Diceros bicornis minor: one gene and its partners. The protein of the gene in region 3 purifies or fractionates together with the protein of the main gene of each other region. This does not show direct contact. Links are inferred from orthologs where the notes say so. Each region holds a gene or a part of one and is shown on either strand. Other genes may lie near its edges.

What was found.
Region 1: the proteins of TP53RK (region 3) and OSGEP purify together in Homo sapiens (affinity purification with mass spectrometry; 5 studies listed by BioGRID and IntAct, counting the BioPlex papers as one, with this or other methods). This does not show direct contact. The link is inferred for Diceros bicornis minor from reciprocal best matches to the Homo sapiens genes TP53RK and OSGEP.
Region 2: the proteins of TP53RK (region 3) and GON7 purify together in Homo sapiens (affinity purification with mass spectrometry; 5 studies listed by BioGRID and IntAct, counting the BioPlex papers as one, with this or other methods). This does not show direct contact. The link is inferred for Diceros bicornis minor from reciprocal best matches to the Homo sapiens genes TP53RK and GON7.
Region 4: the proteins of TP53RK (region 3) and LAGE3 purify together in Homo sapiens (affinity purification with mass spectrometry; 5 studies listed by BioGRID and IntAct, with this or other methods). This does not show direct contact. The link is inferred for Diceros bicornis minor from reciprocal best matches to the Homo sapiens genes TP53RK and LAGE3.

Annotation. Positions count from the first base shown.
Region 1 is NC_080744.1:28,852,477-28,860,721, forward strand, and holds the start of OSGEP (tRNA N6-adenosine threonylcarbamoyltransferase), read left to right. Parts: upstream 1-4,955; 5' UTR 4,956-5,481; coding exon 5,482-5,596; intron 5,597-7,089; coding exon 7,090-7,209; intron 7,210-8,245. Other genes in the region: PIP4P1 (type 1 phosphatidylinositol 4,5-bisphosphate 4-phosphatase), read left to right, coding at 337-442, 652-704, 809-899, 1,388-1,531; APEX1 (DNA-(apurinic or apyrimidinic site) endonuclease), read right to left, coding at 2,605-3,122, 3,262-3,454, 4,020-4,207, 4,413-4,470. UniProt on the Homo sapiens protein: Component of the EKC/KEOPS complex that is required for the formation of a threonylcarbamoyl group on adenosine at position 37 (t(6)A37) in tRNAs that read codons beginning with adenine.
Region 2 is NC_080763.1:38,867,399-38,874,785, reverse strand, and holds GON7 (EKC/KEOPS complex subunit GON7), read left to right. Parts: upstream 1-3,975; 5' UTR 3,976-4,009; coding exon 4,010-4,217; intron 4,218-6,699; coding exon 6,700-6,794; 3' UTR 6,795-7,116; downstream 7,117-7,387. Other genes in the region: putative E3 ubiquitin-protein ligase UBR7, read right to left, coding at 747-807, 1,268-1,401, 3,605-3,754. UniProt on the Homo sapiens protein: Component of the EKC/KEOPS complex that is required for the formation of a threonylcarbamoyl group on adenosine at position 37 (t(6)A37) in tRNAs that read codons beginning with adenine.
Region 3 is NC_080758.1:14,772,628-14,780,639, forward strand, and holds the start of TP53RK (EKC/KEOPS complex subunit TP53RK), read left to right. Parts: upstream 1-4,989; 5' UTR 4,990-5,020; coding exon 5,021-5,303; intron 5,304-6,900; coding exon 6,901-7,379; 3' UTR 7,380-7,396; exon of another isoform or gene 7,397-7,489; intron 7,490-8,012.
Region 4 is NC_080781.1:138,416,426-138,423,018, forward strand, and holds LAGE3 (EKC/KEOPS complex subunit LAGE3), read right to left. Parts: upstream 2,600-6,593; 5' UTR 2,526-2,599; intron 2,407-2,525; 5' UTR 2,148-2,406; coding exon 1,939-2,147; intron 1,617-1,938; coding exon 1,488-1,616; intron 1,245-1,487; coding exon 1,130-1,244; 3' UTR 923-1,129; downstream 1-922. UniProt on the Homo sapiens protein: Component of the EKC/KEOPS complex that is required for the formation of a threonylcarbamoyl group on adenosine at position 37 (t(6)A37) in tRNAs that read codons beginning with adenine.

The DNA of each region.
Region 1 (8,245 bases), on a different chromosome or scaffold from region 3:
GGAGAAAAAGCTAAGGACTATGGTGTCTCTAGAATGTCATAGCCATCTTTCTCATCTCTCAATAAAAAGATTGGGATGAAATGGTTTCCTTTAGGAGAACGGAGAGTCTCGGGGACTGGGAGAATTATCCTAAAGTAAAAGAGGAATTAGAGACCTGAAGTTTAAACAGTGCTCTTCTTCAATGATTCTCTGGGGTACGGTTGGGGGGCAGAGCCTTAAATGCACAGAGAAGTAGATGAACTCAGAGAGGCAGGGAGTAGGGGATGTGAAGGAAGGATAGCGTGGGGATCCTTAGGATTAAGAATATTTTGAACATAGTCTTTTTCTCCTGTACAGCAAAAGAATCATCAATCTTGGGCCTGTGCATCCAGGGCCTCTGAGTCCAGAACCACAACCCGTGGGTGTCAGGGTCATCTGTGGACATTGCAAGAATACTTTTCTGGTGAGGAGAGATATTGGGAAGCCCTGGAAAAAAGAAAAACAAGAGTAATCATGAATATATTTCTGAATGATGATAATGAATCCTGAAAAGGTCTGTTCTATGAGGACCTATTTCTCACCCTCTCCCTGCCCTAGGGCTCTTATTGAAGATGACTTCTACTATTAAAGCTTCTACTATTAATTGCTTTCTCCCTTTTTCTTTCTCCATAGTGGACAGAGTTCACAGATCGAACCTTGGCCCGTTGCCCTCACTGCAGGAAAGTGTAAGTGATTAAAGAGTGGCATCGTTGGGCTGGTAATGGGGTAATGTGTAGAGTGAAAACTACAGGGTCATTACAAGCGTCTATTTCTGTTTGGCTCCCCACAGGTCATCTATTGGGCGCAGATATCCACGAAAGAGATGTATCTGCTGCTTCTTGCTTGGCTTACTCTTGGCAATCACTGCCACTGGCCTTGCTGTGAGTAACCTTGATCAGACCCTTCATTCTTCAGCCTCATCTCCACAGGCTAAGATTTGGGAAATGGCTACTCCCCAAAAAAGTGAAACTGAGGGCTGGGTTGTTTTGTCTTGTTTTAATGTGCAGATGAGCTGAAGTTGAACTAACTGATAAACAGTCCTCGCTGTTACTAAAGGAGTAAAAACCAGCCATCTTTTTTATGCAGAGGATAGGACAACAGAGAAATGGCTTAAATTAAAGAGTTGGTATTAGGAAACCTAAGATATTGAGAAAATCTGACAGTTGTCTAGGATTGTATGAGTTATGTTCCTGCCTAGGAGGAGGGAGCTGAACAACTGGGCCTTTAAAAAGGTCCCTGAAGGTGCCTACATGTGGACAGGGAACAGGAACTGAAGCTTGAGTTCTGTGTTACTGTTACCGGGGCTCCTAGAAAGTGGTGAGAGATCAGCAGTAACCCCATCTTTCTTTTTCTTCTTCACCTTCATCAGTTTGGCACATGGAAGCATGCACGGCGATATGGAGGCATCTATGCAGCCTGGGCATTTGTCATCCTGTTGGCTGTGCTGTGTTTGGGCCGGGCCCTCTATTGGGCCTGTATGAAGGTCAGCCACCCTGTCCAGAACTTCTCCTGAGCCCCATGACGACCCACAGACTGTGCCTGGCCCCTCCCTGGTGGGGACAGTGACACTACAGAGGGAGCCGTGGTAAAAGGCTCCCCAGGGCTTCTGTAAGAGGAGCCGAGCAGCTGCCTTCCTTTTCCCTGGGGAGAGGTAGGAAGGAACCAGGCCCTCACCTAGGTTTGGAAGGGTAGATAAGACCACTGCTGGCCATCTGCTTTCCCCCAGGGGTTGCTGTTGAGAGTGAAGTAGGTGAAATGTTGCCCTTAAACCTGGGCCCTAAAAGACGGTTCTAGCCTCGTTCTTCCTATGTGCTCCCCAAGAGCCATTCCTGTCCCTTACACATTCCAGGGCAGGGTCGGGGTGGGTAGCCCTGGGGGTTTCCCTCCCTCTTGTGCACTCTTAGGACCTTGCTGCTGCTATTGCACTTCACCAGGGGCTGGCTCTGGCCTCAGTACCCTCAGTCTCCTCTCCCCCCATTCTGTGTCCTGTGGGGGTGGGGTCAGCTGCTGCTCTGTACAGAACCACAGGAACTGATGTGTATATAACTATTTAATGTGGGGTATGTTCCCCTAGTCCTGTGTTTTCCTTCATTCCTCCTAACCTTACCTCTCAGTTGCAGTATTTAACTGGGCTGGGTAGGGTTCTTCTCTGTTGGGGGAAGTTAGGGACTCATCCTGTGCTTGTAAATAAATAAGGTTATGACTGTCCTTTTCCAGTTGTTAATCTATACGTATGAAAAGATGAGGAGGGGAATTTGTAGCCCTACAAAGGGGTAGAATACAAAGACAGCAAGGCTGAAACTATGGCTCTTTATTTTCACATGGACAGGTCAAGGAAGTCATCAGTAGCTTTTGTTTAATGTAAAAAAAAAAAAACCCGTCAAAAACAAAACCAAACCTCTGGCTTAAAGAAAACCTAAGTCTGTCACTAGGAGCCTGGTTGAAGGATTCATATTTTCACAAAGAAAATACAGTGCAGATTTCTCTAGAGAGCAGTTTTTAAAGAAGTTTGGGAGCGGGGGTAAGAAGTTTTAAAGCTAGTTTGGGGGGCTTATTTCCCAGGCTCAAAGTGATTTGGGGGAGGTGTCACAGTGCTAGGTATAGGGTGATGGGACAGTGGTCACTGCCCAGGGCCTTGGAACGGATCTTGCTGTCACACAATGCAGGTAACAGAGAGTGAGACAACAAAAAATAATCAAGGCGCCAACCAACATTTTTGGAGCGTGCATTCATCATATAGGTCCAAAAGGTGTAGGCATAGGCCGTGTCAGGGTAGAGATGCCGGAAACTGTCAGCCAGTGGCACAGCCTGCAGCAATTCCCCAAAGCCCTGACGCTCTTGTGGCGTGAAGCCAGCATTCTTTTTGTTTCCCTTGGGGTTACGAAGGTCAATTTCTTCATGAGCCACATTGAGATCCCCACATAGCACAAGGGGCTTGCGGGAAGCCAGGCCCTTCAGGAACTTGCGAAAGGCTTCGTCCCAGCGCTGCCGGTACTCCAAGCGCACCAGACCCCGGCCTGCATTAGGTACATAGGCTGTTACCAGCACAAATGCATCAAATTCAGCCACAATCACTCGGCCTTCCTGATCATGTTCCTCCTCACCTACAGAAATGATGAAACAATCAGAATAAAGAGGTATAAAAGGGAAAACAGAGAATAAAGGAATCAAGAATTGGGGCTCAGTCGGGTATTAGCAATTGGTTTGAAAGAGCTCAGGCGTTAGGAATCAATAGGGTCTCACCAATGCCATAGGAGACTTTGAGTGGGCACTGGCGGGAAAGCAGGCCCACACCACTGTACCCTTCCTTGTCTGAAGGAGCTGACCAGTACTGATGGGATAGTCCAGACAGCTCTTGAAGTTCAGCTGGTAGTTTGTTCTCTGAACATTTGGTCTCTTGGAGGCACAGGATATCTGGGGCTTCTTCCTTTACCCACTGAGTGAAATGACAGGTAGAAAAAGTATCATCAATTCAGCAGACATTTATTGAAGAAGTTATGTTCTAAGTACTAGAGATACACAAGTGAGACAGTCCTTGTGGAAAAGGAGTGTAACAGTCTAGGCACAATATTTAAATAATTTAAACAATGATAAATTATGTAACTGCCACTGATGGAGGGAGGTAGGGAGAGTGGTACAGGCAACACTGAGATGTGGTTTTCTACAGGCAATGGATAGCCAGCTGAGATTTTTAAGCAGTAATTTAAATGGAGGATATGCTGGAGATAAAATGGAGCAAGTCCAGTAACAAGGTTTTTGCAACATGCTGGGGAAGAGATGAGGACATCAAAACAATGCTAAGGGAATTGAAGGAATGGACCTTTAGGAAATACAACTGGTATGAGTTGGTGAAGGCCCTCCTTGTGCCTCTCCCCCAAGAAAACTACCAATAAGGGAAAAATAAAACCTACATGCTTGGGACTAAAATGAGAAAAGGCAATTAAACCCGTAGATCATTCAATACTAAAGGCTGTCTCTTCCCCTCCTTGAATTGCACTCACATCTAAACCTTTCTTCTTAATCCAGGCTCGAAGCCCATCCACATTCCAGGAGCAGATCTTGAGTGTGGCTGATTTGCCACTGGGTGAGGTTTTGTGATCTGGGGGGTCCTCATACAGGACTGGTCCCTCTCCCGCTGCCTCTTTTTCGTTTTTCTTTGCTCCTGCCTTACTCTTCTTGGCCTCTGGCTCTATAAATGAGTAATACATAGTGATAAAACTTGGCGGTATTTAATTTTGATCCAGAGTTAACTACAGACCCACAGCCTGCAGTTGCCGCGCCTTTTTCAGAAACTCGGCAAAAATATATTTAGTCTGGCCTACTTCCGTTCATCGGAGCAATTAGAAACACCCCATCGCAGCCTCTAGGGAGACGGGCTCATTTCATTCTCTTACCAGTCTTGGGCCCTTCTCCGTCTTCTGCCACCGCTCCCTTTTTCCCACGCTTCGGCATCACTGTAACAAACGCCCTTCGGCACCCGTTCCGCGTCGCCCACCGAATCAGTATTTTTACCGCGTTGCCTACAGACGCAAAGAAATCATGAAACCAGCTGAGGCTGAGGAAAAAACTCCTCCCTCGGGCGCCCTCGCACTAGGTCCCGCCTTTGAAACCATATTATCTCAGAATCCTTTCCCCGCCTCCGCGCACTATAGGCCCTTCAGCCCCTCACCCACAAGACTAGATCATTCTATACTGCCTTGTACCCTCCTCGCGAGATCTGCCCTCCGGCCAATCCAGGGCCTTAATTAAGGGTGCCGATTTAGGCTGGCCGATCAGACGTCCAGAGAAGCCCCTGTGATGGGCAAAGAACAGCAACCCCGGATCTGACCTCCCCGAGTCCCAGCCTGGCTCCTCCTCACCCGAGCACAAAGAATGCAGCACGTTGTGGCCCCACGTGGGTAACTGGCGTGGTCACGTGTTCTGAGGTATGTATTAGGTGGCGGAGGAATGCTGGTGATTGGTTTGTCTGGCACCACATGACGGGGCAGCTCGGCCTTCCCGCCCTTCGCCCTGTCTCCCGGAATCGGAAGGACCTAACCCTCCATCCTCGGGCTGTTTATCGGTGTGCCAGATGCCCGACTCATTCTGCCACCTTGGCCGAAGACCCCAACACTGTGCAAGAGGGAGAAAATCAGTGGAGAAGCCTGGGCTGAACCGCGGGAGAGAGGCAGAAGAACGGATGGGAACGTACGGAGGAGATGCCGGCTCAGCGTCTCTGGCAGTTAGGAGGACAGGTCCTTGAAGGGGCCTTGACGGGTCGCCGTGACACGGGGGCGGGGCCGGCGCGGGCGCGCCACCCGCAGGAGTACTTTAGTGTCTGTCTGTGCGCGCCGCTACCTAGCGGCGGCTTGCTCGTGGTCTTTCTTTGCGCTCCGGAATCAGCGACCTTGCAGGGCCTGGTGAGGGCTCCGCGGATCCTTTGGCAGCTAGGAGCCCTGCCGGCATTTTCTCTCAAGCTTGGCCATGCCTACGGTGCTGGGTTTTGAAGGCAGCGCCAACAAGATTGGCGTGGGAGTGGTGCGGGATGGCACGGTGCTGGCGAACCCGCGGCGGACCTACGTCACGCCTCCGGGCACAGGTGCGTGAGTAGTGGATTTGTAGTTTGCGGCGCGCTTCTCTGCACAGCATGACCTTCCTCCTCCTCAAACACTAGTGACATAGGGAGTGGAGCGCATTGTCCGCTTCGTAGAGTTTTGATCCGAGTCTCTGAGATTCTGACAGTATTAACGTCACAAGGCTGATAATAGAAGAGTCGCAGGCACTTGGACCTGGATCTTTTGGGTACATTCAGCTTTTATTGAGTGCCTTTTATGTGCTAATAATCAGCTGGCTGCTAGATACAAAAATAGGTGTTGTGAGCCTGCTATGGAATCCGACATATAAACAGAACTTTACAGTACGGTAAATAGTGTAATATAGATGCAATCAAAATATTCTAGAATGAGAAGAAGTTTAAAGACTCTCAGCTTAGGTGTCAGACAGAACTGGCTGGCTTTGCAGTATTCATGTTCAGTATTTGTTTTTGGACTTCTGTTCCTTACTCTTAAAATGGGAATAATAATAGTACCTGGGTCATTGGGTCTTGAGAATTAAATAAAAGTACCAGACACATTGCACTTGTAATAAATGTTATTTGTAAGTTATGATGTTACGTCTTGCCTATCCTCCTCCAAATTACCTGCATACATAGGGAAGGGTAATTGACTTGCATATACCTGAAAAGCCTCCGTGAACAGGCGATGTTGTGACAGGTTACTCATTAACAATACATGTGGGGCTGGCCTCGTGGCTTAGCGGTTAAGTGCACGTGCTCCGCTACTGGTGGCCCGGGGTTCAGATCCTGGGCGCACACCGACGCACCGCTTCTCCGGCCATGCTGAGGCCGTGTCCCACATACAGCAACTAGAGGGATGTGCAACTACAACATACAACTATCTACTGGGGCTTTGGGGGAGAAAAAAAGGAGGAGGATTGGCAATAGATGTTAGCTCAGAGCCGGTCTTCCTCAGCAAAAAGAGGAGGATTAGCACGGATGTTAGCTCAGGGCTGATCTTCCTCACAAAAAAGAATAAAATAAAATGAATAAAAAACAAAAGTAAAAAAAAAACAAAAACCAATACATGTGTATGTTTAGCACTCACTCGTCTAAGCATTTTGACACCAGGAATACAAAGATAAATAAAATAGCCAGTGCTTTGAGATGCTCATGGTTAAAACTTGGGAAACCACAGATAATTATAATGCTATAATAGTTATTTGTTAAATACAATGATGTGATCACGCACAAGGTTCTGTAGGCTTGCAGAGAAGATCTCCAAAGGCTATGAGATAGGTGTCACTTGAATTAAGTCCTGAGGGCTGAGTAGGAGTTGAGTATGAAGAAGGGCATTTCTGAGAGCTGTTCAGCATGGCTGAACAGGCTGGAAGAAGTAGATCTGAAAACCTGGAAGACAGGATGCATGAGGAGAGTGAAAGGGACTCTTCTTACACTACTAAAATGCCTGTTTTTTACTTCTACCTACCTTTGCTATAGAAAAGCCCTATGATCTCTGACCTGTGTCCATCTCCTAGGATTCCTTCCAGGTGATACTGCCAGGCACCACCGAGCCGTTATCCTGGACCTGCTGCAGGAGGCACTAACAGAGGCTGGATTAACCTCCCAGGATGTTGACTGCATTGCCTACACCAAAGGTATGGCTGGGAGCGTGGTCGCCAGTGGAAGAATATACAGGCATACCTCAGAGATATTGCAGGTTTGGTTCCAGACCACTACAATAAAGCTAATATCGCAATACAACAAGTCACACAAGTATTTTGGTTTCCCAGTACATATAAAAGTTATGCTTACACTGTACTGTAGCCTATTAAGTGTGCCATAGCATTATGTCTGAAGAAAACAATGTACGTACCTTAATTAAAAAACACTTTATTGCTAAAAATTGCTAACCATCATCTGAGCCTTCAGCAAGTCATAATCTTTTTGCTGGTGGAGAGTCTCGCCTCCATGTTGATGGCTGCTGACTGATGATGGTGGTGATTGATGATGGTTGGGGTGACTAGGGCAATTTCTCTTTTTAGGGGGGTTGGGGCTGGGGCCCAAGACAAGCCCTGGCCAGGTACTCACTGTGGTCACCCTGGTTCTGCCCCTTCTCTCTGAGGGGCAGTTTCTCAAAATAAGACCAACAATGAAGTTTGCTGCAGCAATTGACTCTTCCTTTCATGAATGGTTTCTCTGTGGCATGCCATGCTATTTTGATAGCATTTTACCCACAGTAGAACTTCTTTCAGAATTGGAGTCAGTCCTCTCAAACCCTGCTGCTACTTTATCAACTAAGTTTGTGTAATATTCTAAATCCTTTGTTGTCTTTTCAACAGTCATCACAGCATCTTCACCAGGAGTAGATTCCATCTCAAGAAACCACTTTCTTTACTCATCCATAAGAAGCAACTCCTCATCTTTTAAAGTTTTATCATGAGAGAAGCAATTCAGTCACATCTTCAGGCTCCACTTCTAATTCTAGTTCTCTTGCTGTTTCTACCACATCTGTAGTTATTTCCTCCACTGAAGTCTTGACCCCTCAAAGTCATCCATGAGGGTGGGAATCAGCTTCTTCCAAACTCCTGTTGATGTTGATGTTCTGACCTTTTCTCATGAATCACTAATGTTCTTAATGGCATCTAGAATGGTGAATCCTTTCCAGAAGGTTTTCAATTTACTTTGCCCAGA
Region 2 (7,387 bases), on a different chromosome or scaffold from region 3:
TTTCATTTCTGTTATTTCACTAAAACTTATCATATAAGCATAGTTTTTATTAGCCAAAAAGCAGTAAAAACTCCTGTGTGCAACTAGCCCATATTCATTATTATCAAATTATTTATTCAGTTTTTTTTTTTTTGTGAGGAAGATCAGCCCTGAGCTAACATCCATGCCAATCCTCCTCTTTTTGCTGAGGAAGACCGGCCCTGAGCTAACATCTGTTGCCAATCCTCCTCCTTTTTTTCCCTTTTTCTCCCCAAAGCCCCAGTAGACAGTTGTATGTCACAGTTGCACATCCTTCTAACTGCTGTATGTGGGATGCTGCCCCAGCATGGCCGGACAAGATGTGCGTCGGTGTGCACCTGGGATCCGAACCCGGGCCGCCAGTAGCGGAGCGCACACACTTAACCGCTAAGCCACGGGGCCGGCCCCATATTTATTCAATTTTTAGTCATACCCTCTGCTTTAAAAGTCCTAGAGCATGAGTACAATCAACATAACTAAACCTGAATCACTTCAAAGAACATTCGCCCAAACCTTTCATATTAATTACAATCTATACTGTAGGCTCTGAACAGGTTACTTAGCTTTCCAACAGGATAAAAACTGGAATACAGTCTAATATTGATTTGCCCATTTGCCAAGAATAAGCATAAGAACTTCCTTTGTGGAAAATATTTGATTTTTACCCACTCTGGCAAATATCAATCTCAGCTACTTTCAATGCATCTATAGTTACAGTGCTTACTTACAGGAAATAATTTGCATTCCAAATTTTTAAACTTGCTGTTTCCACAATCACAACGAAAATTTCTGAAACAAAGGAGGAAGAGCCAATTTTAATTTTTCTTTTAAATCTAATGACCTACTCTTTAAGTTCATATCATAGTCTCTTCCCTTTCAACTCATTTTTGGGATCTAAAAAGTGGCCTTGGTTGCTGTTCATGTATCCAATTTGGAATTTCTCCAAGCACATAACGATAAAAGATTTAATAATTCTTGAAATTAACATGCATAAAGACAAATATCTGTAACTTACACGAGTAAAATAATGGCATAGAAGGATGAGTAGTTTCAGTTTGTTCCATAATTGTATTTTAAAAAGCCCTCTGGAAAAACTCTTCTGTCCAATTATACTATATAAGACAATTACATTAAATTTTACCCGTGCACAATTACTTTGAATGGAAAAGCAAGATTAAGAAAAAAATGCAGCTTGGAAAGAATCTAAACATTTAAAAAGCATTCAGCACCAATCTCTAATTGTCTTTACCTTTTTGTGTATAGTTCAAATAGTTTATGACTTCCATGGCATTCATAACTGCAAGCTAGGCAAATTCCTGCCGGTTCTTCTCCCTCTGGAGTGCAAGTACTACAGGCATACAGTGCTTGTCTCTTTACTGAGCCCTAAAAGACAGCCCCAAAATGGAAAAAGAGAGAGAATAAATTAATTAAATATGGCATGGTTACCTAATACCCATAATGTGATCTGAGAAGTAACTGAAATCAGATTATGTGTGGTCAAGATCTTCCTGTAAAAACCACTAAGACTAATAAGAAAGCTTACACGAGAGAGTACCAAAACATTGTTGCATGTTTCAGATCACTATATATTTACTACATTAGTGCTTGTTTTCATACAATTTTTTCTTAAAGTGATAGGAAGTTTAATATTCTCAGTCAGCTATGAATAAGCAGGTCTGTTTAGTGACTGTAACACATGAAAATGTAGGAGAATGTGTGTAGGTTTATGTAAGGAACACCACACTTTAATTTCGGAAAATGCTGTGATTCCACCAAAGAGAAAATCAATGCATTAAAAGAATCCCTTTGAGGGGCTGGCCTGAGGGTGTAGCAGTTAAGTTCTAGTGCTCTGCTTCGACGGCCCAGGGTTTGCTGGTTCAGATTCTGGGTGCGCACCGAGGTGCCGCTTGTCAAGCCATGCTGTAGCGGCATCCCATATAAAATAGAGGAAGATGGGCACGGATGTTAGCACAGGGCCAATCTTCCTTAGCAAAAAGAGGAGGATTGGCATCAGATGTTAGCTCAGGGCTAATCTTCCTCACACAAAAAAAAAGAATCCCTTTGATATTTAGGAGATGCATGCTGAAGTATTTAGAAGTGTAGTGTCATGATATCTGCAACTTATTTTCAAATGGTTCAGCAGGAAATAGTATATTACGAAGAAGAGAAAGATTAAACAAATGTGGTAAAATGTTAAAAAGTGAATATGTGTAAGAGGTACAAAGGTGTTTCAACTTATCTGTAGATTTAAAATGTTTCAAAATAAAAAGCTGAAGGAAAAACAGGCAAAACTTTTAGAAATCTTGACAATGGTTACCCTCCTCTAGGAAGAAGGGAGACACAAGGAAGCTTCTGGAATGCCAGTAATGTTCTATTTCTTGATCTGGGTGGTAGGTAACTGCATATGTGTGTTTGTTTTTCAAGCCCTACACATGTTCTGTGTAATTTTCCATACATTTTCCTACAATAAAAAACGAAAACGTTAAGGAAGTCTGTTTTACAAAGCTAACTACATTTCAAAAATAGCTCATGTACAGGCTTTTTTTAAAAAAGGAAAGCAGAGAAAAAGTTGTTTTGGTGGTGACCAAACGTTTTAAAATACCAGCCAACACCTGGGACTATCTCTAGATACCAGGTGCTTTCAAAAATCTAACCATTTGGCAGTGTAAGCTTGACTGGCCAATGGTGACAACTGGTATTATGATCTCAGTCCACATCACATAATGACCCCAAGTCTCTCTCCTCATCCCCCAATGTTCCACTCCACCCCCCTGGAAAGTAACATTCTTCCTCCTACCAATTCTCATCCCTTGTTAGTTTTCTTCTACCCACCTTTCTCCATTTTTGTACCTAGAAATATCGGATGAGTCACCAAACACTACATCACACCCCCTCAAATCCTTGTTCACATCTTCCAAGTGCCAAATTTCCTCTTCAAGTAGCTCCTTCCCTCTTCCCCTCTCCTCTTTTGCCAGTGCCACCTGCTGTCCTGGTTCAGGTCCATCCCCATGGGGGGCAGACGGCAGCCAGACACAGTACTTGCTTCGTCTCGCCAAAAAGCTACCAGCTAGCACTTGTCAAACTAAATTGCAGAGGAACTAGCTGTCAAGGAGCCCAGCCCACACAGGGAGATTTTCAAATCCAGACCTTTCTCCTTTAACTCTGCTTTCACTCTCCCATTCGGTTCCCAATAAATACTCTTAGGATCGGAAAAGTAGGGACAAAGATGTCTGAATTGTGAGAGGTCACGGGGATGGTTTCGTAAAAAGCAGCCGGGCGCCGAGAAGAAACGGGAGAGGAAGGACAGAGCAGCTGCTCCAGGGCCAGAGCCTCGGGAATCCTGAGGGGCCGGACGGAGGCAGACCGATGGACGAGGGGGCTTCTGCTGGACAGGGGCTGAGAAAGGGGGCCCAGGGGCTGAGGGTAAAAGGGCAGCTGGGCCTGGCATGGGGGAGCCTACGAAGAACGGCGGCCCCGCACCAGCACGGGGGAGCCGGGCCGCGGCAGGCGGGAACAGGGCAAGTCCGGTCGGGAAAAGGAGGCTCAGCGGAGCCCGGGGGAGACCACGCCCGGGCCGCGCGCCCACCTGCGAGTAGGAGCACTTCTCGGAGTCGCTGCCGCCCAGCACGGCGCACGCCTCGTTCTCTAGCTCCTCGTCCTCCTCAAGCACGTCGACCAACGATACCACGGGCTCCAGCTCCGACTGCCGCCCAGCATGCCCCTCCGCTCCAGCCATGCTCAACTGTCACCAGGACCGCCGCTCTGTCCCTGCGGAGGCGGGAAAAGCGGCCTCGAGGGGGCGTGGCCGGAGGAGGCGGGGCCTGAGTCCCAGGAACCAATCCCAAAGAAAGGAGGTGAAGGAAGGGGGAGGAGCGACTTCCGATGAACGGAAGTTACTCCCCTCCCTTCTCCCGCCCGCGCCCGCCGTAGGCTGGCTTCCGCTTCCGGGTGGCGCATCCTTGTGACGCGCTCTGGAAACTCAGCGGTCGCCATGGAGCTGTTGGGCGAGTATGTTGGGCAGGACGGGCAGCAGCGGCAGCTGCGGGTGCCCTGTGAGGCGCCCGGCGACGCCGACCCTTTCCAGAGCCTGTTGTCGGGAGTGGCCCAGATGAGGGAGCTGGTGGCCGAGCTCTTCGGCCCCCTGGTACAGCGGGAAGCGCAGGACAGGGAGGCGGTGGCACCGGACGAGGCCTTGGACGGTGAGCTCTGAGACGGTGTGGAGCGACAGGAGGGCGGGGCAGGGGCGCCCGTGGAGAGTGGCAGACTTGGAGAAAGTGAGCCTCAGGGGAAGAAGTTTTTCCTAAAAGACGTTGGCACTTTCCGCTGTATTTGGGCTGATTAATCTGGGCTGCTTCTTACCCAAGCGTTTTCGCGATTCTTCATTTATATCACAAAAAACGTGCTGCACGCCTCCTGCTAGGTGTCAGGCATGGGGCTGAGCCCTGGAGAAAGAATGAGGTGAAGGCGACTCGGTTCCTTTACCTGCGAAACTCTCACTCTGGTGAGCGGTTAGACAGGTAGACACTCTGGGTAAAAAGGGCGAGTGTGACCCCAGGGCCTTCTGTAACTGTTGCAAACCCAGGGAACCCCGGAAGGCTTCAGAGAGGGCGTGACTTTTAAGCTGGCTATTGAAGGATGACAGGGAGTTTTCCCAGGTGTGAAATTACAAACATGTTTGGAAGGCTGCCATCTATCGCAGAATAGGAGCAGGTTCCGAAGATTGGAACAGATTTCAGTTGAGCAAGTCTGAACTCGCAGGGACTCCTTCCCTTTCTCAGTTTTGTTTGTGAAGTTTGAAAGTCAAAGCGGGAAATTTAGCTGCATTAATTTTTTTTTTAAGTCTCATCTTAAATACAAAAATAGGGACATTTGATTGCCCTGAGCTGAAGAACCTAAAAACTGAATATTGGAGTCAGGACTTAGCTTTTTTGTAGAGGAGCTTAAACTGTACTGTACTTTTTTTCTTTCCATCTTGTTTTCATCTTGATAGTTTCAGATAATTTGAAGGAGCCAATTCAGAACATTACACCAAGTTCAGACAATAGGTTGTTTCCATGAGAGTGAAATCCTGTTTCTTGCTTCCAAAATACCTCTCCTAATCTGTTGAAAATATTACCATTGGCATGAGAATGAATATAGTTAGAGCCATTTAAAAAAAAATTTTGTCATTACTTACTGCAGAAATAACTGCCACCTGTTCTGTTAATGGTGTAATGTCTTTGTATAGATGGACATGTTTTTGTATCTTTAAACAAGTCCCCATAAAGCTTAGGTTTGGATTTCCATTGTTAAAAGTGACAGAGATTAAAATGACGAATTTTAACTTATATGAATATACCAAGTTTTAAAATTATAAGACTTACTAAAGAAAAGTGACAGAACCCAACACTAAAAAGACAAATAATCCATCTACCAAATGTACAGAGGATTTGAATAGGCAGTTCTCCAAATAAGATATACAAGTGGCCAATAAGCACATGAAAGGATGCTCAACGTCATTGGCTATCAGGGAAACGAAAATCAAAACCACGATAAGATACCACTTCATGCCCACTAGGATGGCTATAATCAAAAAGAACAATAAGTGTTGCTAGGATGTGAAGAAATTGGAGCTCTCATACATTGCTGGTGGAAATGTAAAATGTACCTTCTTTGGAAAACAGTTTGGCAGTTCCTCAAAAAGTTAAACATGAAGTTACTGTATGACCCTGCAATTCCGTTCCTAGTTCAAGGGAACTGGAAACATACGTTCACATAAAAACGTATGCATGAATGTTCATAGCAGCATTATTCATAATAGCTAAAAAGTAGAAACAACACAAGTGTCCGCCAGCTGATAAGTGGATAAACAAAATGCATGTTGATACAATGGAATGTTATTCAGCAGCAAAAACCAATGAAGTACTGATAACTGCTACAATGTGAATGAACCTTGAAAACATGCTAAGTGAAAGAAGGCAGACACAAAAGCCCGCATATTTTATGATTCGTTTATATAAAATGACCAGAATAGACAAATCTGTAGAGATAGAAAGTAGATTAGTGGTTGCCAAGGGCTGAGAGGAATAGGAAGTGGCTGCTAAAGGGTGTGGGATTTCTTTCTGGGATGATGCAAGTGTTCTAGAAATTAGTGATGATCAGTTGCTCAACCTAGTGAATATACTAAATCAATAAACCTTATACTTTAAAAGAGTGAATTTTATGGTATATGAATTATATCTCCAAAAACAGTGATAGAAAAGAAAGGTTTTAAACACCAAAATTCCTGAAATCTTTTTTTTTTTTTTTTTTTTTTGTGAGGAGATCAGCCCTGTGCTAACATCCGCCAATCCTCCTCTTTTTTTGCTGAGGAAGACGGCCCTGGGCTAACATCTGTGCCCATCTTCCTCCACTTTATATGGGACGCCGCCACAGCATGGCTTGCCAAGCAGTGCGTCGGTGCGCGCCCGGGATCCGAACCAGCGAACCCCGGGCCGCCGCAGCGGAGCGCGCGCACCTAACCGCTTGCGCCACCGGGCCGGCCCCCCTGAAATCTTTTTAACCATACATATTTCAGATCTGATATATGCATGGTTTTATTAACCCCTAAAGTGAAATGGTCTCATTATCAACCATTTTAGCTATCTATATTTCTTTCAAGCACTGAACATATTGTCATACAACAAATATTTATTTTAAAAGGTGATGATGAAGATGATGTGGAAGATGAAAATAACATTGATAACAGAACTAACTCAGATGGACCATCTGCAAAACGGCCGAAACCACCATCTTAACAATAGCTTTTATGAAGTTTAAAAGACTGCTACTATAACTTAGTTATCTCATACTGACATTTAAAGAAGACTTGTGCTCTAATTTGGAAAAGCATTTGTTTTGTTCTCCTGGGACAGTTTTGTCAAGGAACTGTCTTGTCTGTTTCCATCAAAAAAAGATATAATAAATGTTTAGAAATGTATCTGTTTTCTTGAGTGAGAAATAAGTTTCAGATCATGGAAATAAAATACAGTACTTAATGTGTAAAATCCTCTTAAGTTGGCAACTGAATTTTTATTGTTTTCTACTTTTTAATCTTTGAATTAAATTGTGTGATGTCTACATCTTTCAGCTTCTGCTTCTGTTATAAAAAGTACAGTCATGGTTCAGGGGCAGTAACATCTCAAAGAACTGACTTAAGCAAGTGGTGAAAATTGGGTATTAAATATTAGAATGGCAGGGGGCCAGCCCCGTGTCTTAGCGGTTAAGTGCACGAGCTCCGCTACTGGTGGCCTGGTTTCGGATCCCCGGCGCGCACCGATGCACCGCTTCTCCGGCCATGCTGAGGCCACGTCCCACATACAGCAACTAGAAGGATGTGCAACTATGACAT
Region 3 (8,012 bases):
CCCCAAATGAGGAAGGAAAAGTCCTTACTGGGCATTTCAGCAGGCATCTTCAAAAATGGCTTCCCTCGAGGGTGGGCAGGACCTTGACTCATTGCTAACAAATAGAGTACAGCAAAAGTGAGGGGTGTCATTTTAGAGACCAGGTTATAAAGACGGGGATTTCTGTCTTGCTCACCCTCTCCTGACCTCTCACCCACTCACTCTGATGCGGCCACCTGCCGGGCTGTGAGCTGCCCGATGGAGAGGCCCACACGGCAAGAACTGGAGGTGGCCTCCACACGGTAGCCAGCAAGGAACTAAGGCCCTCAGATCAACAGCCCATGAGGAACTAAATCCTGCCACTAATCAAATAGTCACAAAAACAAACACAAGAGACAGTCTGTGACAATGTAAAGGAAGGACACCAGAGCTTATAAAAGTTGGATTTGCTCTCCTCTGAGAAGTCAGGGAGGGCTTCTCTGAGGAGGTGACATCCTTCCCTGAGGAAGGATGTCTAGATGGGTCTTGGCAACAAAGGGAGGGAAGAGTACTTCTGAGGTGGGAAATAGGAGATGCAAAGGCCCTGTGGCAAGAGGGAGCCTGGAAAGAATGAGAGACCGAGAGAAGGTAAATGTGTTTGAAGATCAGAGAGCAAAGGGGAGTTTGGTGTGAGATGAGTCTATAGGAGTCCCAGGCAGGGTCTCACGGGTCTTTATCCTAGGCACAATGGGGAGCCATTGAAAGGTTTTAAACTAGGTTTCCTACCACAGAAGGCAGAAGCAGTCTGACCACAGCATGCCTGGGACTTGATATTGTGTTTACACAGTGGGTTTTCCAAAGGAGGGGTTCAGACAGCTTTGGTAACCATGGAGATGGCTGTGTGGACATTAACAATTATGATAATGAAGCCACAAACTTGGGAAACTGGGTATTATAAATAGAATTGGTTCTGGGTGAGCTTTGAGTAGTCTGGGCTGATGAAAGGTGCTGGAAACCACATGATGCCAACACAAAGGGTCTGATGTTTGAAAAGGTGACCTGCCCTGTGTGTGAATGAAACGCAGGGACTGTGGCGCTGAGGGTTGGTCTCATAGCAACTCTGGGACCAAAGGGCCTTTCTTCAGTATTTCAAACAGGGTCCCAACGATGGGGGAAGGGACATGCACATAGGAAGAGTGTATGCTATCCACCAGGCACCTTCATGAGCAACAGCTTATTCAATCTTGATAAGCAATTGCCAAAGTAAAGCTAATTATCCTCGTTCCGAAGATGACGACTCTGAAACTCAGAGAAAGGATGTTTGTCGCTGCATGGCACAGTGTGACAGGCACTTATGGCTGCCTCCCCAGTGGCTGTGCCCAGCTCCCTTCCTCCTTGCTTACAGAGCACATCTCCACCTATAGGGGCTGAAAATGCCTGATCCTCATTTTTGCAGCTTCCTCTGCAGCTAAAGCAAAGACACATGGGCCAATTATGGCCAACGTCCTGTAGAGGAAGTCTGATGGGAGAGGAGCGATTTCCAGCAAAGGGTTTCTCCCAAATGTTTTTGTGTCTTCATATCATGTGTGGAACTCTGGTGGCCATCTTGTGACCATAAAGTGACAAGTGTAAGGACCAAAGCAACCTACTGAGGCTGGTGAAGGGCATGAATATATGAGGGTAGAAAGATGGAAAGACCATCGAAATCATAAGGTGACTGAAGGATGCCTGAGACTCTGTACTTCTTAAAATTTTGTTCTGTGAGATCATCAGTGAACTTGTTGTTTACCCAAGTAAGCTAATTAGTTGACTCATCTCTTACTTGCAGCTTCATATATCAAAACTGTGGCTGTCTACTAATTGTCCCCCATATAACTCCTCCCCTACTTCCTTTTAGTAATAATTCCCCTAAGTTTTAGCTAAGTCCATGGCTGCCCTGCTAGAGAATACATTTTCCAGCATCCTTTGCAGAGTCATGGGCCATGTGACTAAGTCCTGGCCAATAGGATGTGAGTGGAAGCGATGTGTGGAACTTTGGGCCACATCCTTAGCTGCTTGTTCTCTATGGCCTCACGCCCAACCTCCTCCTTGCCAACTGCAGAGGGGGACAAGGGAATAGACTCAGAGAAGGTAGCAATGGGTTAAGAATGACAGATCTGGACTGTTACATGAAAGAGAAATAAACATCTCTCATATTTAAGGCACTGTTTTTAGGTTACTTTATTATAGCAGCTTATCCTGTACCCTGCCTAACTAATACAGTAACCAAAATGCACAGCCATTCAGTGGTGGGACAAGTCAGAGTTCTTGTTGTAAGACACACAAACTGCCTTGCTCCTGCGTCTGAGCACTGGCAGCCAAGACATGGGGTAAACGAGGGGCTTCTATGGCAGGACGTGGTCCCAGTGGTCCCCTAGGACACCACACAATGGGGAAGGCCCCTTCCCCCCCGAATGGTGGTTGGATGATGGAAGTCTACTTACAATAGCTACTATATTAAGCTACTATATTATGCCCTCCATAAACAATAACAGTTTTCATTTATGGAATGCTTGTCATATACCTGGCATAGCTCTGTGGCTTTTACCTCTAGTTACTCATTTAATCCTCACAAAAACCCTCCAAGATAGATATTATCTACAATCTTATTTTATAGATGATAAACCAAAGCCCAGAGCAATTAAATAACTTGCTCTTCTTCAAACATGCCAAGCACACTTCTGCCCTAAGGCCTTTGCACCTGTTAGTCTGTGCCTGGAATGCTCTTCTCCCAGGAATCCATTCACGAGGCTCAAATGTCACCTTTTCCTTGAAGCCTTCTCAATCACCTTATTTAAAATCCTACCACTCCCCACTGCCCTGCCACCCTGCACTCTACTATCCATAGGGTGACCACATAATTTATCACCCAAACTAGCATGCTTTTAAGAGGGAAGGGGGGACACTTGTTATGCCAGGACAACAGGTTACAACTGGGGCCATCCCTGGAAAACTGGGATGCATGTCATCTTAGCCATCCCCCTTCCCTATTTTATTTTTCTCCATAGCACCTATTACCCTGGGGTATCATCCTTATTTATTTGTTTTTTTTCTGTTTCCACCTAGTAGAATGTAAGCTCCATGAGGGCAGGAATTAGTTTCCATTTTATTCACTGCTGTGTCCCAGGCGTTAGCGCAGTGCCTGGCCTAGAGTAGTCACTCAATAAATGTTTGTTGACTGAATCAGTGAGTGAGTGAATGAATGGGCATCTGGTGCTGATGGGTAGGAAGTCTCCTTCAGGGCCAGCCTTAGGCTCAGAAAGGGCTAGGGCCGAGAGACGAGCCCTCTCCCCACCATGCTCCGCTGCTTGGCTATTGTACCTAGAACCTAACTGCCCATTCCGCAGCCAGAAGTGGAGGCCTTGAAGGGCCATGCCTGTGCAGTCACCCCAGCCTCGAAGCACCTCCCTTCCAGCAGGAAGAGCCCTTTGGGACACTGCTTCTCCTCCTGCCCTTCCAGCTCCCAGCCTGTCCCCAGCACCAGCTTGCTCCAGCCACATGGAGCTGCTGGCCCGTCTCTCACCCAGCCCCGCCCTGTCTGTTCTCTCTGCCTGGAACCTGAGCATCCTCCCACGACTCCACTTGGTTGAGGGTGGAGCAACCTGGGAACCTCAGTGAGGGCAAAGGTACGGGAAGTGAGATATACACTCGACAGGAGTGTAAATAGGCACAAAACTGGACAGGGCAGTTTGGCTGATGGATCACATTTTAAAATGCTCATCTTCTACGTCCCAGAAACATCAATTTTAGAAAGACATCCTCAGCAACACTCATGCATGAGGTCAAGGATGCCCGGATAAGCCTGCTCACTGCAGCACTATTTGTGAGAGAGCAAAAAAAAAAAAAGAGAGAAAAACAAAACAAAACTGGAAGCAACTGTTTAGCAACAAGGATGGGGTAGCTCTATATGTACTGATATGGAAAACTGTCCAAGATAATTGCTTAGGGGGAAAAAAGCAATTTGCCAAAGAACGTGCAGTATGCTCTCATTTATATTGGGAAAAAGCCCATAACTATGTGTGAGAGTGCAGGTGTATCAGGAAAAAAATCTGGAAAGAAACTGTATACAACGGTTGGTGGTGGGACAGACTGATGACCATAGGCATTTTGATTTTTCGTGTGTGCAAAATTCTGTATTGTAATAATGATGTACACCTGAAATTTATATAATGTTATAAACCAATGTTACCACAATTAAAAAATAAATAAGTAGAACTAAAAAAAAAAATTCTGCATTGTAAGAGTTTGCTACAGCCTGTATTGGCTTTGCAATTAAAAAACAGATACAAACAGTAAGAGTTTGTCTGTTAATCACTCCCAATTCACCTTAGGTTCTATCTCCTCTGGAAAACTTTCCCTGATCCCACCTGCCCAGCAGCCCCACCATCCCCACCACCCTCTTTGAGTCTCAATTATTTTTTTCTGTAAGATGAGTTTTCATCATTTAGCCTTATTACTCCTTAATGCACTTAAACGGTAGATATTATTATCCCACCACTAAAGACGATGTTAGACTTATTGTCTACCTGCCACCCCCGACTCTGACTACCGTGAGCCCCTCTTGAGGGGAATTCAGGAGCCAACGGACGCAGACGTCCAAAGAGAGAACTCCCGGTACCACAGCTTCATAGGAGCCAGAGAGACTCCTGGAAAAAGCCGATTTCGAACCGAAGTTTTCCGGAAAGAGCCGAAGAGCTGGGAGGCGGTCACCAAAGCCGACCGCGAGAGTCACGGAGGACTTCGGGAGAGAGCCGAGGCGTGGGATGAGGGACTTACCGAGAGTTGCCGAGGGTTTACGGAGATAGCCGAAACGTGGGAGGCGGGGCCACAAGAGCCTTTCCGAGGGGCAACGAAGGCTTCGAAAAGAGCCGAAAGGTTCGGAGGCGGAACCGCTTCCTCAAAGCGGAAGTGTCGGCGTTCGAGTGGCCGCAGAAGCCCGAGGATTTCCGGAGCGAGCCGAAACCTCTCCGACAGGTTCCGGAGAGAGCCGAGGGATACCGAGGGGCGGCGCTGAGGCGCAATCATGGCGGCGGCTGGTGTTGCTGCGGCTGAGAAGGACGAGGAGCCCGCGGCGGAGGCCGAGGCGCTGGCCGCGGCCCGGGAGCGAAGCCGCCGCTTCCTAAGCGGCCTGGAGCTGGTGAAGCAGGGCGCCGAGGCGCGTGTGTTCCGCGGCCGCTTCCAGGGCCGCGCGGCCGTGGTGAAGCACCGCTTCCCCAAGGGCTACCGGCACCCGGCGCTGGAGGCGCGGCTCGGCCGGCGGCGGACGGTGCAGGAGGCGCGGGCGCTGCTCCGCTGCCGCCGCGCAGGTGAGGCGCCCGGGCGGCGCGGGGAGGGGGCCCCTGAGCCCGAGCCGCCATCTGCCTCAGTTTCTTCCTTCGTACCTTCTGCCGTATTTTGGCATTAGGAAATGCCCTTTCATGCCTGTCTGCATGCGTTCCTTCCTAAGCCGCTGGGCCTGCAGCGACGGGCGTTTGTCCCGCAGCCCTTGCGCCTGGTCGGTTCCCGGCCCTGCCACCCGTGCTCGCCGTCGAGCATGTTCTCCCACCGCCCCGAGCCTCGGTGTACCCGTTTGTGCTGCCTCGGTTTGCGATCGTTATCTTCTCATCCATCACTTTTAAGAAGCAGATGTAATTACAAGGACGTGCCCGGGAGCCAGGCTCTCTGGGTTCGGATACTGACCCCGCTGCTTCATATGGAGCCTTTCAACACGTTGCTTAACCCCAGCCTCAGGTTCCTCCTTGTAAAGGGAAGTCCTAGCAGCAGTAGCCACCTCGTAGGCGTGTTGGGACCATTAGATGAGGTGTGTATGCCGTGTGTTCGGTTTGGGTGTATGACTGGCACCTACCGCTCGGTAAACGTTAGATTTCATTAAATTCATTAAATTGTGTGTTTCTTCATTAAAGCATCATTGTGCACCACCACCGTAAGCCTTGTCCTCAGATGAGTTACTGAGGATCAGAGAGGGGAGGTAACTTGCCCAGGGTGACACAGCCAGGCGCTCAGCCCGTAGCCCTCTGACTCAGAAACACTGGCTTTTCACTTCTACACGTCCTGCCTTTCTTTCTTTCGTTGGTATATTTTAGGCGCCTGCTGTACCCCGAGACATTGTTAGGTGCTGGGAGATCTGGAGGAAATTCAGTAGTGAACAAGCAGACACATCTCTGCCCTTGCTTGGATGTAGTGAAGTTACTTGTGTGGTCATGTCTTCTGTTTTCACCCTCTGTGGGGGATAAGTTCAATTAAGCAGGGATGTGGCTGCCTTGTTTCCTGCAGTATCCCCCCCATATGTCTCCAGTATCTAGAAAAGTGTCCTGAACATGATGACATTCAATAAAGATTCACTGAGTCTTGGAGTTCAGTGAATTCATTGAATTATAGGCGGTGTTGTTCTCATAGTGTAAAAGCTGAAACAGAGGCTTGGAGAAGTTAATGCGACTTGAAGGTTATACGGTTACTGAGGAAAGGAGCTGGGATTTGCACCTGTCCTGCCTGATGCAGAGACGAATCTCTAGGCCAGCACACTGCGTGGCCTCCTGTTTGTGTCCCTGTCAGGCAGAACCTGCTCTGACCGCTCTGTTTTCTCTTCTGGCTCTTCATTTTGTTTTGTTTTTTAGGGGATGAGTATCACAGATGAAGTCCAATCATAAAGGGTGGGAAGGAGGAGGGAGCTGTGGCATTACAAACCGTAGCTGTGGGTGGTCTGAGGCACAGGCTTGCAGAGCATGAGCAGGGGAAACTTCCAGATGGGTTAAGTTGTACCATTCTGCAGCAGTCCTAAGTCGTCTTCCTGAAATAAGCAGAGATAGACTATAAAAAACAGGCTCAATCTTTGAAAAGTAAGCTTACCATTAAAAAAAAAATAAAAAGAATCTAATCCAATAGCCACTTGTGTCTTGATTACAGGGATATCTGCCCCAGTTGTCTTTTTTGTGGACTATGCTTCCAACTGCTTGTACATGGAAGAAATTGAAGGCTCCGTGACTGTTCGAGATTATATTCAATCCACTATGGAGACTGAAAAGACTCCCCAAAAGCTCTTCAGCTTAGCCACGACAATCGGGCAGGTTTTGGCTCGAATGCACGATGAAGACCTCATTCATGGTGATCTCACCACCTCGAACATGCTCCTGAAACCCCCCCTGGAACAGCTGGACGTCGTGCTCATAGACTTTGGGTTGAGTTTCATTTCAGCACTTCCAGAAGATAAGGGAGTTGACCTCTACGTTCTAGAGAAAGCCTTCCTCAGTACCCATCCCAACACCGAGACTGTGTTTGAAGCCTTTCTGAAGAGCTACTCTGCCTCCTCCAAAAAGGCCAGGCCAGTGCTAAAAAAGCTGGATGAAGTGCGCCTGAGAGGAAGGAAGAGGTCCATGGTTGGGTAGAAGAATGTGTGTGACAGCTCCAGACAGCTAAGCTGTTTACTTCAGAGTAAATTTGAAGGAATGCTACCAAGTTGAGATTAGATCTAAATAAAGTTGTTGAGGTATTTTTAGGTGCTGTCTGATAATGCTTGTTAAGTGTCATTATCTCTGCGGTTGGCTGTTAGCAAGAGCTTACTGTGTGCATAAGACACGTTCTAGGCAGAATTGGGTATTTAAAATAAGTCTAGGACAGGCTTATACCTCAGGTTTGTGGGCAGGCCGTTATAAAACTTCAAACCACATAAAGAGAACATTATTCTCTTCAGTCCTTCTGGTGAGACAAGGACAAAGTCTCAGTTGGTGACAGTATGTCTTTATCAGCCCTCTAACGCAGCATTTTTTTTTGATGTGTTCATGACATATTCCTCTTAAAACCAGTATAGTGGGATAGAACCAGTATTTTAAAAATGAAATAGAATCAGAGACTAGAAAATATCATGTGCATTATATGTGGTATTGTAAGTATTCTTTCATGAAACTTGTTTCAAATGTATATAGACAAGGGTCTATACTGGGTTTTGATGTAAAATATATATATATTTTTTTTTTGGTGAGCAGGATTGGCCCTAAGTTGACATCTGTTGTCAGTCTTCC
Region 4 (6,593 bases), on a different chromosome or scaffold from region 3:
AAAGCCCCAGTAGATAGTTGTATGTCATAGCTGCACATCCTTCTAGTTGCTGTATGTGGGACGCAGCCTCAGCATGGCCAGAGAAGCGGTGCATCGGTGCGTGCCCGGGATCGAACCCTGGCCACCAGCAGCAGAGCGCACCCACTTAACTGCTAACCCACGGGGCCAGCCCAATGCAAAGATTTATATACAAGAATTCCATTGAATCATTACCTATAATAGGGCAAAAATTGAAAATAATTTAGGGGCCGGCCCCGTGGCTTAGTGGTTAAGTCCGTGCGCTCCACTACTGGCGGCCCGGGGTTCAGATCTTGGGCGCACACTGACACACAGCTTGTCCGGCCATGCTGAGGCCGTGTCCCACATACAGCACCTAGAAGGATGTGCAACTATGACATACAGCTATCTACTGGGGCTTTGGGGAGAAAAAGGGGAAAAAAGGAGGAGGATTGGCAATAGATGTTAGCTTAGCGCCTGTCTTCCTCAGCAAAAAGAGGAGGGTTGGCGTGGATGTTAGCTCAGGGCTGATCTTCCTCACACACACAAAAATAATAATTTAAATGTTCAATAATTACAATTTATCTTTTATGCATTTATTCAATAATGCTTTTGAAGAATTTTTAGAAAGAGTGAAAGTTCATATTAGATGAAAAATATCAGGAAAAATCCTAAACTTGCAAAATATCATGCATTATATATTATTATTTACTATAGAAATACAAGTATAAAAGTAAGAAAATATTCCAAAATGTTGACAGTAGTTAATACTGAATGACAAGACCCACCTTCTTCCATTTCCTAAATTGTCTTCAATTGCCTTGTCCTACTGGACTATCTGAATCCCAGAACCGCCCCCGCACCATGAGGACAAAGACAAGAATATTAGGAGGTGCAGTAGCTGAAAAGGAACTCAGACACGGAATAGCTGCTCAGTTTTATTTTCTGCTGTAATGAACACTGAATCACCAAACGAAACAAGTGGACCCTGAGTGCCCAAAGGCCAGTAAAAGCAAAACATCAGGGCCCCATAATAAAGTGGCAGCGACTGCAGCAATCTTCCGCCTAGGAAAGATGCACTGCCTTGGAAGGGACAGGAGGTTAGACCTTAGCCCCCTTTCCCAGCCCAGGCTTAGCGGGAAACAGGGGGCCCAAAGCACTGCATGGTCCGCATCACCAGGGAAAGCTGGTCAAGAAAGTTGATGATGGAAATTCGGAGGAGGCGAGAATCTTCAGCTTTCCAGCGGCTAAAGTGAGGGGAAAAGAAAATCAATTTGGACGCGGTAACTCCTCCCCTTCCTCGCTCTGCCTCTCAGGCATCCATTACACCGAATCCTTTGCTATGTGCATTAGAGCGCCCCCTCAGACGGAGACGGGTCTAGCGGACCATGTCCCCTCTCTAGACCTAACCCGTGTCTCCGTGTCTCCAATAGAGCGCCCCAGGTGGCCTGGACACCCGCTGCTAATCCTACCCAGCCCCGAGAATTTACACCGCCAGGACGCTGCCAATCACTGTGAGCTCCTTCCGAACCGCCCCTCGGTGGGGTTCCGCATCTGGGGTCAGGGACCCATGGGCGATCTCCGCCTCCAAGGGGGACGGGAAAGGCACGCTGAGGACGCTGGAGATTCGGTTAAGGCACCATCCATAAAGACTCTGTGCCTCGGGACCCCTCTCAGACCACCCTGACTAGTCTCACTCCTTCCAGGACTGCTTCCACCCCCTCCAGACCACCCGTGGCCCTAGTCCTCCCCAGCCACCCCGTTCCCCTTTACTCTCATTTCTTTCCCCCCCATACCAATCCCAGCCCCAGCCGTCCCCGGTTCCCCCCCGCTCCCCTTTCCGCCCCCAGGCTGCCACCGACCCATCTGTCCCTCTGCACGTCATTCCCCGCCCGCAGGCAGCCCCCAGACCATTCCCCGCTGTCCCCTCCGGTAGGATACAATATGTGTAGTCGGCTTTCTGGCCTTCTGGCTGTGGATGTGGCGTCTCCACCTGGCCCTGGGGCGTGCTGTGCTCGCGTAACACGCGGAGCTCCCCCGGCTGCAGCGGTCGCCGCGCCTGCACCGCCGTGGAGGCCGTGGCCACCCTCGCGGTCCTGGCTCTCGGCACCGCCCGCCGCACCGCCTGCGCCTGCGTCTGCTGCCTGCATGGCCGCCGCGCTCCGCCTTCGACTCCGCCCTCTCTGCCGGAGCCTAAGGAACTGTGGCTCCTTCCCAAAGCTCCGCCCCCTCACGCTGACTCCGCCCCGCACGCCTGCGCAAACAGGCCCTAGTGAGGCCGCCGGGCGCGTGGTGGATTCCCGCCAAAGCGACCATCCTGGAGGCTCTCGGAGACTCCGTTGGCTGCTGAGAAACTGAGGCTCCCTGCAGAAGCCCCACTCCTTCGCGCATGACTCGACCCCAGGGCGCCTGCACAAACAGGCCCCTAGTGAGGCCTCAGTTCCTGCCCAGCAGGCCCTGCCGCCCGCGGGCCCCGGGAGACCCCATGGCTACCTAGCCAATGAGCAGTCCCTCACCAAGCTCCGCACCTTAGTGCCCAGTGCCACGGGGGATCCCCACAGCGCCTGCGCAAACAGACACCCTCTGATTCCTTGGAAGGACGACAGGTTCCCGCCCAGCCAGGCCTGCCACACCCCGAGACATCCCGTTGGCTACCTAGCCAATGAATGCTCCTTCATGAAGCTCTGCCCCTTAGAACGACATGTGACCCCAGCGCGCCTGCACAACCGGTCCTGCCTCGCCACCTCGCTCCCCCGCCCCCCCCCCCCGCCCCGCAAGACCTCGTGTGAGGGCGCCAGATGTGTGGCCGGTTTCCCGCCCTATCTCTTTCCCAGAGCCAATACCCCCAAGAGATGTGGCTCGATGTCCTGGCAGTGATTTGTGGAGGGAGGTGGAATTGGATAGTCCCCGAGGGATACTGCTCTGCACCCCGCCCCATTGGCCATGTAGGTGGAGAAACCAAAGGGGAATTTAAAGGGGGCAACAACCCCATCAGATTTTATTTTTAGAAAGATCACTAAGTGGGCCGTGTGGAGGTCAAGCCTGCCAGCAGGGAGGCCCCCATGGAGGCAAGAAGACAAATGATAGGGACCTGAAATAAAGTAGTGGCAGTGAGAACCATCAGAATGCAAGACTAAAATCACTAAAATCCCAATTAGGGAAATTACTGTCTATATGCATAGAAATCCTAGAACAATACAGCAAAATGTAAACACTTGTTATCTGGATGTGATGGGATTGTGTTGTTAACTTTTTTGTGTTTTCCCCAAACTTTAAAAAATTTTTTTTATTTGTTTATTTATTTTTCCCCCAAAGCCCCAGTAGATAGTTGTGTGTCATAGCTGCACATCCTTCTAGTTGCTGCATGTGGGACGTGGCCCCAGCATGGCCAGAGAAGCAGCGCGTCAGTGCACGCCCGGGACCCGAACCTGGGCCGCCAGCAGCAGAGCACACGCACTCAAACGCTAAGCCACGGGGCCGGCCCTCCTCAAAATTTTTGACAGTAATCTTTTATGACATTTTTAATAAAAAATATGTTTTTAAAGTGACATGAAATTTTTGGTGGTGATTGTCGTTGCTTTTCTATTTTCCTCCTTTGGAATCAAAAGGAAGGACATGAATCTGAACTATATCATCAAATCTCGTTGGCTCTCTCCTCAAAATAGATGCTAAATCAGCCAACTTCTCTCCCTTTCCGTTGCTAGTCCCCTGTGGGAGCCACCGTCTCTCTCTGAACTCCTTCAACAGCTTCCTGACTGGTTTTCTTCTACCCTTGCACCTCTGCAGCCTGTTCTCTACACAACAGAATCGGTTCTTAATTTTTAATATAAATCACATCATATCATGTCCCTGCTTAAAATCCTAAAACGATTTCCCATTGCCCTTGGAATCAAATCCAAACTCCCTGTCATAGCTTATAAAAGCCCTGTGTGACCTGGCTCCCAGTTCCTCCGACCCCACCTGCCTGCTTTCTCATTCTCTGCAGCCTCTGGGGCCTTCTCTCTGCTACTGACCAAGGGTGGCCTGCCCTCAGCCCTTTGCACTTACTCTGCTATTTGGAAGACTATGTCCCCAAACTCTCCCATGGCTAGCTCCTTTTTGTCATTAGGATCTTGGCTCCAATGTCACCTCTGAGAGGGCTTCTGGATCACCAATCTGACATACTACCCCCAGCACGCTTCTTCATATTTGCCCATTTCAATTTGCTGCATAACATTTCTAATAATCTGAAATTATAATTTCGTTTTGTTCTCTTCTGTATTGTTGATATATCATCACTGGTATGTGTTCAGTGCAGTTTATGCAGTAGGTGCTTTGTTGTTTGTTGAATGAAACAGAGTATTAACTAAGTACAAAACTGGAGCACTGCCTTGGAACCAGCAATCCCGCATGTAGGATGTTACTTCACAAATATGAAACAACACATTCACAGAGCCACTCACTGTAACATAATTGGTAATGGAAAACTATTGGACACAAGGTACATGTCTGTCAGCAGGGAACTGGTGAAATAAACTATGCTACATTCATACAATAGTCCTAAGCAGCAGTAAAAAAGAATGAAAATCTTTAATGAAAAATAAAATGATCTCCAGGATATATTGTTATGTGAAAAAAGCAGAGTGCAAAGGACACACACATGCTTATTGGAAAAAAAGAAAAGACATAGGAAGAAGAAACGCAAAACTAATGAAAATGGTCACCTCTAGGGTGTTCAGATGGGTATGGGATTTCTTGGAATATACCTTTTTGTGTACTTTTGACTTTGAACCATGTGAATATTTTATGTGGTCAAAAATACATTTGAAAGAGTGAAAAAAATCAAATGCTAAAATTGAATAAAAACAAAAACAAATGAGCCTAACTGCATATCCAATTGATAACAAAACCACACAGAAAACAATTTAGGTGCCTTTCAACTCAGCTCTCTGACTGGACTGCTTTCATGGGATGTATTCTAAGAACCAAAAGAATTGGCTTTCCTCTTAGTATGTTCGTCGTTGGCAATGGTAGTGATGAGGTCAGTGTGGAGCTCTTTGGGGTGTGCTTTAACATAGACTCCACCCGGTAGAGCAAAAGAGTAAATATATGGATGTCGAGAACCCGAATTCTCACTGTGGAATGGGGGAAGGTGAGAAAGAACTGTGATGCTGGATTGGAATTAGGGATTGCAGTATGAACTCTTTTTTGTGTGTGTGTGAGGAGATCAGCTCTGTGCTAACATCTGCCAATCCTCCTCTTTTTTTTTTTCTGCTGAGGAAGACTTGCCCTGGGCTAACATCCGTGCCCATCTTCCTCCACTTTATATGGGACGCCGCCACAGCATGGCTTGACAAGTGGTGCGTCGGTGCACGCCCAGGATCCGAACCGGTGAACCCTGGACCACCACAGGGGAGCACACGCACTTAACCACTTGCGCCACTGGGCCGGCCCCGCAGTATGAACTCATAAAAATATATATTTCTGGGACTGGTCTGGTGGCATAGTGGTTAGGTTCACGTGCTCTGCTTCGGCGGCCCAGGGTCCACAGGTTCGGATCCAGAGCACAGACCTATGCACTGCTTATCAAGCCATGCTGTGGCAGGCGTCCCACATATAAAGTAGAGGAAGATGGGCACAGATATTAGCCCAGGGCCAATCTTCCTCAGCAAAAAGAGGAGGATTGGCAACAGATGTTAGCTCAGGGCTAATCTTCCTCACACACACACACACACACACACACACACAAAAAATATATATATATATATATATATATATATTTCCTAGTTCGAGCCAGTGAAAAAGTCTAGAAGCAGTGACACCCCAGTAGCAATGAACACACCCTGCACTCAGACCTTGGTTTCTCAGTATCGTTCTCCACTCAAAGGACCAGAGCTCCCTGGAGAAATGGTGGATTCGGGCCGGCCCCGTGGCTTAGCAGTTAAGTGCGCGCGCTCCGCTGCTGACGGCCTGGGTTTGGATCCCGGGCGCGCACTGAAACACCACTTCTCCGGCCATGCTGAGGCTGCATCCCACATACAGCAACTAGAAGGATGTGCAACTATGACGTACAACTATCTACTGGGGCTTTGGGGGGAAAAAAAAACAAAAAAGTAATGGTGGATTCTAGGGCTGGGGTAAGAAATACACAAGCTGAGCCTGGAGCACCTTGTAGTGCCAGAAAGTCAGGAAGTGCTTGAACAACAGAAGCATGAGGCATGTCAAAGGGACTCAGGAACTAACCCGAGAGAAGCAAAGCTAGAACAACTTGAGCATCTAAAAGAATATGAACGATTTTGGAGAGGAGCATGACTGGGAGGGGGCACCAGGGAAGGTGCTGGAGTGCTGGTGGTATTCTCTATTTCAGTCTGGAGAGGATAGATACATAGGGTGTTCACTTTAAAGGTCCATTGCACTGTACAGTGATATGATTTATGCACAGTACTGCATGAATGCTGTAGACCAATAAAAATGACCCCAAAATGACACTCTTGGATTCTAAGTTGTTGAATAAAAAAAAACGATGCATCCACCATGATAATTGAGAAAAGAGAGCAGGGGAAAAGGAAAGCTCTTCATAGAGAAATGCCAATTAACAATTGTAGAAAGAAGGAAAG